2 linked regions of the Coturnix japonica genome follow. The protein of the gene in region 1 purifies or fractionates together with the protein of each later gene. This does not show direct contact. Links are inferred from orthologs where the notes say so. Each region holds a gene or a part of one and is shown on either strand. Other genes may lie near its edges.

What was found. Proteins that work in one complex are often made in the same cells at the same time.
Region 2: the proteins of RND3 (region 1) and PLEKHG5 purify together in Homo sapiens (affinity purification with western blotting; 3 studies listed by BioGRID and IntAct, with this or other methods). This does not show direct contact. The link is inferred for Coturnix japonica from reciprocal best matches to the Homo sapiens genes RND3 and PLEKHG5.

What each region holds. Positions count from the first base shown.
Region 1 is NC_029522.1:30,901,139-30,907,121, reverse strand, and holds the start of RND3 (rho-related GTP-binding protein RhoE), read right to left. Parts: upstream 3,751-5,983; 5' UTR 3,592-3,750; coding exon 3,442-3,591; intron 3,347-3,441; coding exon 3,259-3,346; intron 1-3,258. UniProt on the Homo sapiens protein: Binds GTP but lacks intrinsic GTPase activity and is resistant to Rho-specific GTPase-activating proteins.
Region 2 is NC_029536.1:466,370-471,593, reverse strand, and holds part of PLEKHG5 (pleckstrin homology domain-containing family G member 5), read right to left. Parts: intron 5,116-5,224; coding exon 5,039-5,115; intron 4,344-5,038; exon of another isoform or gene 4,245-4,343; intron 3,665-4,244; exon of another isoform or gene 3,561-3,664; intron 2,716-3,560; coding exon 2,586-2,715; intron 2,495-2,585; coding exon 2,392-2,494; intron 2,296-2,391; coding exon 2,235-2,295; intron 2,136-2,234; coding exon 2,044-2,135; intron 1,970-2,043; coding exon 1,833-1,969; intron 1,759-1,832; coding exon 1,610-1,758; intron 1,487-1,609; exon of another isoform or gene 642-1,486; coding exon of another isoform or gene 369-641; intron 174-368; coding exon 1-173. UniProt on the Homo sapiens protein: Functions as a guanine exchange factor (GEF) for RAB26 and thus regulates autophagy of synaptic vesicles in axon terminal of motoneurons. Involved in the control of neuronal cell differentiation.

The sequences.
Region 1 (5,983 bases):
CCAAAGTTTAGGTTAAAATACTGCTGACTTAATGCACGACAAACTGGTGGTTCAAACTGAGTCCATGCTTTGATTTTCTGACATCTCTGTGCCACTGTGAGATGCTGGATGAGAGCTGGAGCCCTGTCTGGAGGTGGCTCAGCCCACGTCCCTCCTGCAGAGCTGGACCTCAGCCCTGCCTCGGGCCAGAGGGAAACCTTGGGAACAGGCAGCGCTCAGCTATTTGCACACCACCAGCACCCAGAAACAGGCAATATTTCACTATTTGCACACCCCGGAGCAGCCATCGGGCGCTCGTCTTTGTTGCCTTTTGGACTCCAGTCAACTGAAAGAACAACAGATGAACAGCAGCTCTCCCACTCCCAGCTCCTCAGGCTTATTAATTATCAGCTACACTGAAAGCACCAAACACCGCAGCGGCAGCTCCAAGTGGCTGATTCACTGCTGGTGTCTTTCCTCCTTCTTGATTCACCTTCGCCATTCCGGAGAAAATGGAACCTCTCCAAACACACAAATATCACCATGTTCATAGTGTTTTGTGTGCTGACATTACTGTACCTCTAACAGAAAACAACACTGTCTGTCCAGATCCCACCACGCTCCAAAGCAGAGCAAACTACCATATAGATGGGATACACTGTGCTCATTCAAACTGCACGGAAGCCGACTGGATTGAAAGCTCTGCATATCAAAAAGCCATCTCCTTTTTTAAATGGAAGAAGGCAAGAAACACTGAATCATGAGTGCATCAGACAAAACGCATCTGATACAGGATTCCTCAACGTGCCCATAAGGCTGAGGAGCCTTCTCTGAAACGCTGCAAAAGGAGCAGAGCTGCCAAGCAGCCCCAGACTGCCATAGTGCATTACCACCCAATGGAATAATTTATGACTGAGTTCTATTGCAACCAGACATTCCTGCTCTGAAAAAAAAAAAAAGAGAAGGGGTTGGTAGTCCAAAAACCAATTGAAATTCAAGTTGGCAAGTACTTCCCTTAATGCTGCGGTTCATTTCAATCCTTATGACTTGCAGAACTAGACTGTACCAGAAAATATTTGAATAATGAATCTTCCCGTTCCACTCCTACTTACGAGTGTTTTGTCCCAAATCTCTATGTGGATACAACAAAAACTTCCTAATAAAAGTACGGCTTCCTTTGAAAGTTCAGTTGTGTGATGCTCCACATCTTGCCCTTAAGATTCCTCCTGTAATGAGCACATTGTATAAGGCACTTCTTTAATGGGTAAAGCAGAACTGTGGCAGTGAGGCTTGTTTTGTGAGGCTTTCAAACACTGACAAAGTCATCCTGAAATATCTGCAGCACACTAAACTCATCTGCACCCACTTTTCACCCTTTGCTGTCACAAAACAGAGAACAAAAGCCACGAGGTGGGCCATTAACTCCCCCCCAGACCCATGTTGCAATGGACATTGTCCACCATTAGCACAAGTCATGTTTTGAAGTTAACTACATCCTGGGCTGCTTGGAAGTCATTAAGCCATTTATTGTAATTCAGCAGAGAGCTATGACAAAGCCTTGTAAAGAATTAAAATTACCAAGAACTTGAGATAATGCTGCAACTGGATCTTATCTCCTTACGTCTCTTATCTGGTGATGATGTGATTTTGTGTTGGGGTGTTGGGCCCTGCCTTCCCACAGTCAACAGGAAGAGTTGCTTAGAGACTTGAGCTGCAGAATCCCACAAGCAGAGTGCTACCAGTCTGAGCATCGCATCCCTCAACCATTTCCTCTTTGGTTTCAGACTGCAGAGATGTTAACCACTTGTTCTGAAGCTCCTGACTGCCAAATTGCTTGTTCCAGGATGGGCCTGAAAGCATGACCATGCACTGCTTTGCAGGTGCTTCTCTTCAGCATTGCCACCCTTTGAAGTGCTACAGGATGCTTCATCACACGGGTGTCACCAGCCTTTGACATAACAGATTCCAGACCTTTGCAAGTCAAACGACCCACGTGCTGTATTTTAATAACTAAACATAGAAATTGCCAGAGAAAAAAACTTGGCCAACTATTAAAAATTAATAAGGCCTTACTCCACTGAGTTTGCTACTTAGTCATCAGCATGAAAGCTCAAGCCAGACACACTGAAGGAGCATGAAAGTCTATCTTGGCAGAAGATAAAAAACAAATCTGTTTGGAACTATGCTGATAGTGAACGTGGGCACACAGAGCGCCTTTTCCCAGTAATCATGTTGCAAGCCTTCAAAACCATTTCCTGAACAGCGAGGGGAAAGGCAACTCACGGTCTACATTCCTTTTCTGCAAAGGGATTAAAATCTCAGTTTCTGCTAAGGGGAATGATGACTTATTTAGATGGAACCAAAGTGTCCAATTTCAACATATACAAATCCTGCCTGGAAAAGAAAGGGCTTTTGCGTACTACCTGGGTGTCCTCGAAGGGAGCATATAAACAGGAGGGGGAACGGCTGTTTGTGAGGGTGGGCAGTGATAGGACAAGGGGGAATTGTTTTAAACTGAGACAGGGGAGGTTTAGGTTGGATCTTAGGAGGATGTTTTTCCCCCAGAGGGTGGTGACGCACTGTTCACAGGTTGCCCAAGGAGGCTGTGGATGCCCCATCCCTGCAGGCATTCAAGGCCAGGCTGGATGTGGCTCTGGGCAGCCTGGGCTGCTGGTTGGTGACCCTGCACACAGCAGGGGGTTGGAGCTGGGTGAGCACTGTGGGCCTTTGCAACACAGGACGTTCTGTGATTCTGATATAATTCCTTGCACCTTCAGAGGGCCGAGGATGCTGCCCTACCCAAAGCCTTCTGCAAGAGCTGGAAAATGTGCTGTGTTCTGTCAAAGCAGACACTAAGGAGCCTACATGGAACTCAGCTATCAGCAGGCTCAATGCAGTACGAGCAGCGATAAGCACCCCTTTGCTGCAGCAAAGGCTCAGGGCAAAGCGAAGCTAACGCAAACACCACTGTCCTATTTGCCTTCCACCGAACACAGACAGCGATTCGTCCACACCCTTCCTTTTCCCTCTCGTCTGCTGGCTCACCATCACGTACAGCAAGGCTAGACGATAAACCCGAACCTCAGCACAGCGGATCCCATCCAGGCGCACCGCCGCTCCCCGCCCGCACTCGGTGCTGCCCGGCACAGCGCGGGGCTGCGGGGCGGGCTGGGCCCGGCTCCTCCCCGCCCGCCCTGGGTGGCCGCCGGGCGGACGCGAGTTCGATCCCGCACACCGCCCCGATCCCGGCCACTCCACCCCAGCACCCTCGCTGCTCACCGGAGGTGTCCCACAGGCTGAGCTCGATGCGCTGCGTGTCGATCTCGAAGCTGGCCGTGTAGTTCTCGAACACGGTGGGGACGTAACTCTGCGGGAGAGACAGAGCGCGGTCAGACCCGATACCCGGCCAGCCCCGACCCCATCCCAACCCCATCCCGGCCCCATCCCGACCCCAAATCTTACCTCGGGGAAGCAGTCCTTGGCGAAGACGTGCAGCAGCGCGGTCTTGCCGCACTGACTGTCCCCCACCACCACGATCTTGCACTTCACGTTCTGGTTAGGATCCATCACCGCCTTGCTCGATAACTTCTGACTCGCTCTTCTTTCCTTCATTGATCTCCTCTTTGTATCCTTCGACCGGCCCCAGCGCAAAACCAAACAACAAACCCGATGGAAAAAGAAATGAAATAAATAAACCGAAGCAGGTAACCCCTGTGGTAGTGGCAGAGCCGCGGGACGCACCGCCGCTCGCTCCTCCCGCCCGCCGGTCCCGCGCAGACTGCTTTGTCCCCCCGCCGTCCGCCCCTATTTATAGCCTCGTTCCGCCAATCACCGCCCGCCGGCACTGTGGCCACGCCCCCTCGCCGCTCGCTGCCAGAGCAGAGCGCCCCCTTGGGGCAGAGCGCTGTGAGGGAGCGGGACGGGCGGACGGGTGGGGAGCGGGGCTTTAGAGCAGGCCGTGTCCGTGGGGTGAATAATCCATCATCCGTGTCACAAACCGAGCCCGTGCCGTGTGTGGGCTGCAACACGAAGCACAAGTAACGCCTGACATAGAAAAGCCCGAATATCTTGTAGGTGTTTAACGTGCAGGCCAGTTTTAACCTCAGTGCCACAGGTCCCAAACATGGCGGCCATGGCGATGGCCGCGTTACTCACCTGTGACGGGCTTCACACACAGCCGGACACTTGAGTTCTGATGGGAATTAGCAGCCAAACGCTGAAATTGGTCGGCTGTGTGTTATTAGGCGGCCTCAGGGACATGCAGGTTTTCACCCCGGCTTTTTGACGTGAAGAGCAGCTCACTTGGGCACATCTGCGGCTTCCATCCATCCCTATGTATGAAGATAACTCAAGGGAGATGGGCTGGGTCTCTGCAGCCTTCCAGTACTTGGGGGGAGCTTGTAAACAGAAGGGAGAGGCTTTGTATGCAGTGAGATAGTGGCAGGATGAGGAGGAACAGAGCTTCAGAGCAGAGGCAGAACAGCCCCGTGTTCTTCTTGGGTCAAATACACAGTCTGAAGTCTATCTGTCCAGTATATGGGGAGAAGAAGATGGGGTTGAAGGAGCTTTTTGCTGATCTTGAGTGCACTCTCCTCTGTGCAGATGGAGACAAGATGCAACAAAGGCAGTGCCTATGCCTGGCATAGATTGCCCAGAGAGGTGATAGATACGGGGTCTGAGCCCCACAATATACTGTAAACATCCCTTTTTTGTTGCCAGGGAGTTGGACCAGATTGCCTTTAAGGGTCCCTTCCAACTCAAACCATTGTATGGCTCTAGATTGTGTGGCACCCACTCCTTGGCAGCGGCGTGGCTTCTCCCTCTGGACCCAGTGGTACAGGGAGGAGGGAGCCGTGCTGCTTTGAACAGCTTATACGGAAAATTTGCTTGCATCCAGCTATGTTCAGAATGTGGAAACTTTAATGCACACCAAGCACTTACTCATCACGACTTCCCACAGCACGCCTTGTGCTAATATGAGTAGAGATAGCTGTTTACATGCTTTGTTTGCTCTCACAGTTCAGCCACTGCCAGCGTCACCCAGCTCCAAACCCACGGCTCTCAAGCTGTCCTGCAGTGCTCTGAAAGCGAAGGAAGCAAAGGAATCCCCGCCGGGGCCGTGCAGCTGAGACAAGGAGCTTCAAACCGACAGCCAGAGCTAATATTAGAAGAGGTCACTCTGCATTGCTGGCACAGAGGCACCGCAGAGGAAAAAGGGGATAATGCATGGCTGTGCCGGGACCAACTGTGTGCACTGGGGATTCCTATTGAGGGAAGCGTGGGACCTCACAGCTCTGTGCACTTGTGACAATCAATAAGAGAGGGAGCTATGAGATACGCCTGCCTGCTCTGGAACGGCTTGTTTGTTGTCATTCCTCGGGGAAACTGTCCCAGATATGTTAATCCCTGTAAAACTATTATTCATGTCATACTATTAAGTTTAATGCCTCTTCACATATCTTGATAACGAGGGGGATAACACGGCTGGGTTAACGTTTCCATCGGTATTTTTCACACGCAGTCCCATTTTGATTTATACAGCGCGGTTTCTCGCTCTGCTTGGTTCACATTCCCCATTTTGCTTCAGCTCTGATTCCTTTCTAGACTTTCACAGCTTCTCTGCATTCCACGCAGGGAAGTATTATATGTATATTAATGCCACCCATATAATCCAGTATTATCGCTGGTAATGACTACTGATCTCGTATAAGATTTTATGGGAATATCAAGATACGTTTTTCTCCTCTCGCAAGTCATCAGCTTCAACACTTCCTATGACACGAATAAAACAGTTAAGAAGAGTGCTTTTAGCACCGCAATGATTGCTTGACGATTTAAATCTCAAATTGCCATCAGAATACCTACCCGTGTAATGCCAGCTACCCAAGCTTCCGAGGCAAGCACTGAACGCCATACATAAAACATGAGCCTTCCAGCTCCCGCTCCCTCCTCCTTTCTCTGTGTGTGTGTATGTGTGTAACTAAACATACATTAAAAGAACATT
Region 2 (5,224 bases), on another chromosome or scaffold:
CCGGTGCTGGCGCCGGAGCTGAAGAAGCCGCTGAAGCGGCTGGCAGCACGGTTCTTCCAGGTGTCGGTGCCATTAGTGGGCAGGGAGCCGCTGCCGTGCAGGGATGGCTCGGGGCTGGGGATGCTGGCGTCCCCCAGGAACTCCGTCATGTTCTTCCGCCGCCTGCCCGGAGCCTGTGTGGGTACAGTCGGTGTCGCAGGTCAGCACCAGCCCTGCACACCTCACAGTGCAGGGACAGCCCCCGAAAGCCGCGCTCTGCCCCTGATGTGTCCCCCACGTGCCATAGCCGGTCCCTTTCCGGGGCGCACGGAGCCAGGCCCCCATGGGACACGAGCTCACAGTGCCCGCACCCGCACTGACCTGCGTACCTGCATCCTGTGTACCGGGGCCAAGCGCAGCGTCCTGTGCCCACCCCCCGTGGCAGAGGGGCACCGCGGCTCAGCGCATCCCACGGGGTGCAGCACCCCGAGCCCCACACCGCCCAGCTGTGCTCTGAACTTGAACCGCAGAGCAGGGCAGGCTGTGGCCGAGCTCCTCTGAACAAAAGGAGGTGGGGCCAGCGCAGAAAACCTAATTTCCCTCCTCGCCAGATAAGCTAAACAGACCCGAACAATTCGCTGGCAGAGATCAAAGCCCACCATCCCGCAGCAGAGCTGGGTCCTGGCCACACAGCACCCGCCTGCCCAGGCACAGCCGTGCTCATGCACCTCTACCACCCCACGCCAAGGCCACACTGTGACATGGCTGCTGCCCTCTCCTCACTCAGCACAAAGTGCAGCAGGGCCATTGCGTGGCACAGCGAGACACACTGTCCCCAGGCTGTGACAGCCAACACATGCCTAGCGTGCCCTCTACTTTGCCCCAGCACATGCCCATAGCTCACCATGCCACGGTGTCCCCAAGTACCCCAGCCCACACTGGCCCTGCTGCCCAGCTTTGGCTCCGCTCCCACCTGCTCTCGGGGGCCCAGCAGTGGAGGTGGTCCTGTGACTGCCATCCCTTCTGTGCCACCAGCGCAGTGCTGGTCCTGCTGCCAGGCATCGTACTGCCGGATGCGGGCGGCCACCAGCCCCGGCCACACAGCCAGCCTGGCACCCTCAAGGGCTTCTGGCACAGGGGGCCAGGAGCTTCTGTCCCCACGCTGGGATCACCAGAGCCAAACCTTGGGGAGCAGGAGCTGCGTGGCCCCACGAAGGTGGCATCTGCTCCCACAGGGAGTGGCAGCAGATCCGGCCCCACGGCTTATCTGGGGCCAGGGTCCACGGGGCAGGACTGAGGCTGCACACAGCAGCTGACAGGTGCCAAGGCGAGGAGGGACGGTGGCCACATCCTGGCCAGGAGTGCAGCCAGGGCGAGCCCTGGGGTCCACGTGGCAGCTCAGAGCCATTGAGCTTTACTTTGCTCAGGGACCAGCCCATACATGGCACAGCTGCAGGGCTGCCAGCTGAGCTGCCACACCTGGGGCAGGGCACTGCCCGCACTGCAGTGCTGTACCCCTGGCACCCCCATGGCATGAGGCCAACCAGGAGACACCCTGCTGCCCTGCTGTGCCCCCACCCCCCTGAGCACATGAGGCATGGAGCGCTGATGGAGCTCTGTGTGTACTCACCAGGATGTCGGTGCCCTCCCTGCGGCCTGGCCCTGGCTCCAGCCCTGTCCCGAGGAGTGCAGCGGTGCCGGCGGGGCGCAGGATGGGCAGGCTGGCTGAGCGTGCATCCCGTGCTGCCTGCTCCACCTTCAGCTCGTTCCCGGGCTTGGCTGTGGGAGCACGGAGCTGTCAGAGCCCCCAGCCCCGAGGTGCAGGGCTGGCTTTATATTTCCCCCCTCCACACCTTTCACCCGCAGGTAGTGTCCCCCGAAGCGGTACGCCTCAAACTGGAGGGACAGCGGCGTGTTGGACTGGTCCAGGTAGATGTCCACCTTGCTCTGCTCGATCGCCCTCCTCTCAAAGACCGGCAGCAGCACATCCCTGTGGATACCATCCCTATGGGTCCTGTGGGTCTCTGTGCCCACTGGGGCCATGCCTGGCACAGGCACACTCACCCCAGGGACTTCTTCTTCATGGCCGGCACGATCTCCGCCTCGATGTCAACATTCAGGTCGAATTTGAGGGTGAAGCACTCCTTGCTGGGGTCCTGCAGGAGACACGCAGCTCACCAAGGGCTCCCTCCCATCTCAGATGTGGCCACAGCACAACCCCACAGCAGAGCCCTGGGGAGGGGATGGTGTCTTACATCCGTGTGCCTGCGCCGAGCCTTCTTCTTGGGCAGCTTCAGTGCTGAGCTTCTCCTGTCTCTGCGGGCAGGAGCAGAAAGAGCCAGGTGTTCTGCAGGGTTTGATGGCACCCGCTCTGTCCCATGCACTGCAGACAGGGCTGGGACATTCACTCACCCTCTCCCATCTGCTGATCCCTCGTCATCATCCTCCATGTCGGAGGCAGGGCTGGTGCGTGGCGGGCACGAGCGTGTGGACACATTGCGGGCCAGGATGGAGCCTGTCAATGAGCATTGGGGCTGTGCTGTGCTGAACAAGCTGGACCCGCTGTGTCCCATCACTTGGCCCAGGTCACAGCCAGCCCAGCTTACCTGGTGGGGGCAGATCGAAGCGGATGTGCCCATCAAAGTGCATGGTGCCGTGCAGGCGCCCGTCACAGGCCTCACACAGGCTAAGTGGGCTGCTGCAGTTCAGCTGCTGGCACTCTGCGTGGTGACATACCTGTGGGGTGCAGCTGTGGGCTGGGGCTGGGCAGCAGCAGGATCCCCCGACCCCCCATGGGCTGTGCAGGGGATGGGGACACAGCCACAGTGCTGCGGTGCTGTCGGGCACTGAGCCCCCTCCCCATCACCTCTGCACTGCACAGAGACCCTCGGAGCACAGGGACTGCAGCAGAAAGGCCGCACACAGCTGGGCGTGGAGGGAGAGGGCACTGGAGGCACTGGGGGCACCTGGCCCCCACCCACCCGTTCCCAATGTCCCAGTGCTGGGCTGAGGGTGCACCGGGACCTGCTGCGCTCCCAGGGGGGCTGCGGGGCCGCAACGGAGCCTTTTGTGTTTGTGAGATCAGTGTCCCCACGGCAGGACGGAGGAAGCGAGTGTCTGCAGCAAAACAATGCTCGCAAGCCGATGCATTTCCTCCGATTGTGCGCCCAGCCTCAGCCTCGGCCGGTCATTCACAGGCATTTATTTTTAACCCCAGTGGGCGCTCGGCCCGTGACCCCTCGCTGGGGGCTGCGCCGGGGGTCGGGGCGCTGCCGGGGGCGCTCAGCCCACCCCGGGGGTCCGTCCCCACGTGGCAGCGCCCCACGAGTGGCAGGTGGCAGGTGGGAGGGCAGCGGAGCGGCATCCCGGAGCGCGGCAGAGGAAGCTCCGCGCAGCCCCGGCCGCCCCCGCTTCCTGCCCTCCTTCCTCCCGGCGCTGCTGAGCTCAGCGCTGACGCGGCCGCCGCCCGCGCCCCCCGACGGGGCCACCCGCCCCCACCGCCCGCCCCGCCGCGGGACGCCGAGATCCGCGGGCAGAGCCCACGGCAGCTCCGGGAGCCCCGCACCGCCCCGCACACCGACCTGCCGTCCCGCACGGCCCCGCCCGGCGCCGGGGATGTCGCGAGGCCGCGTCCCGGTGCCACGTGTGTCCCGCGCCGTGTTTGCCCAGCGGCTCCACCCGCGCAAACACGACCCGCCCGCGGACACGCCGCTCACCTGCCCGCCCGCACCGCCGCCCCCGGGCCGGATCCCGCTCCGCCCGCACTTCGCCGCCCCCCCCGGGCAGGTTCCTGCCCCGCTCCCTGCGCTGCGGGGTCCGAGGTGCGGGATGGTGCGGGCACAGCCCGGCTCTGGAAGGAGCTGGAGAGCAGAGCCCTCCCGAAACCCGCACTGCCCGAAAGGTCACCGCTGCGGTATGTCCTCCCCGGTGCTCCTGAAAGGCAGCGTGTGCCTCACTGCAGAAAACAGCTCATCCGCTCACCATAAAAGCCCATAGCAGCGCTGCCAGGCCTGCAGGGCCCAACAGCCAGCACTCTCGTTGCTGGAGCAATGCTCCTGCACTGCCCAGGCCAGGGGCACCGCACTGCACGGCTGAGCACTGCATGATTGAGCACTGCACATTGAGCGCTGCACATTGAGCACAGCACATTGAGCACTGCATATTGAGCACTCCATATTGAGCACAGCATATTGAGCACTGCACATTGAGCACTGCACGCCCTCCCCACCAGCACGGCCTCAACACACTGAGCACTCGGCACTCACCAGGAGCAGAGCAGCAGCACGGCACCGGCAGCAAGGACAGCCCGGAGCGAGCCAGCAGGTCGAGCAGCCAAAGATAAGGGGCCCTAAATCCACTCCGGCTTTACATTAGCGATCAACAAGATTAGGAGAGGTGGCACGGGGCGCTTCCAGCCACAGGCTCTGCTTAATTCCAGAGCCCGGCGCTTCCCAGCCTGGTCACGGCGCTGCCATCCCTCCACACGGCGCAATGGATGCGGACATGAACGCAGCTGTTCCTGGAGGGGCCCGGTGCAGCTCTGCTGCCCAGCCCCAATGCGCAGCAACGAGCTGCAGCAGAGGCTCCCCCCCTCCCAGGCACGGCCGCGCTGCCTGTGCCGGCTTGCCAAGCTGTGCTCCGCCGGGAACAGGACAGACGGGCTCAATGAGATTAGCCTGAATTACAGCAGGTGGGGAAACATGGAAGCTGCCGCCACGCAGTTAAATCCCAGCCACGCACCATCCTGCGGGCACACACACACAGCGGGACCACGATGCTGCCGAGGGATGCGTGCCATGCACAGCTCCCACCATGCAGGGAAGTGGCTGCAGCCCTTCCCCGCTGCGTAGCCACATCCTACCGGCCCAGGCCTTTCTGCCCCGTGGCCGCCTGCCAGTCAACTGCACCGACCGGTTCTGCTGGCACCAGAGGCACCGGGAGCCGGGGCGAGCCCGTGGGAGCCTCCACCTGCCCGGATCTGCAGCAGCACCGTGTCCCTGCTGCCTTCCTGCCCGCACAGCCCCAGCTGAGCGCCGCGCTGCAGCACCCTGTGACATACCTTGGCTGCTCTCCTCTTGTCAGCGCAGTCGGGGTTCTGGCAGCGCAGCCCCTGCTCCTCTGCTGGGCACTGCTCGTCTGCAGGAGAGAGACAGGGTTAGTGCTGGGTGCACTCGTGGGGCCCTGCAACCCCGCGCCCACCCCTGCCCCACGGCTCCTGCAGGAGGGCAGGTCCCCAGCAGTGAGC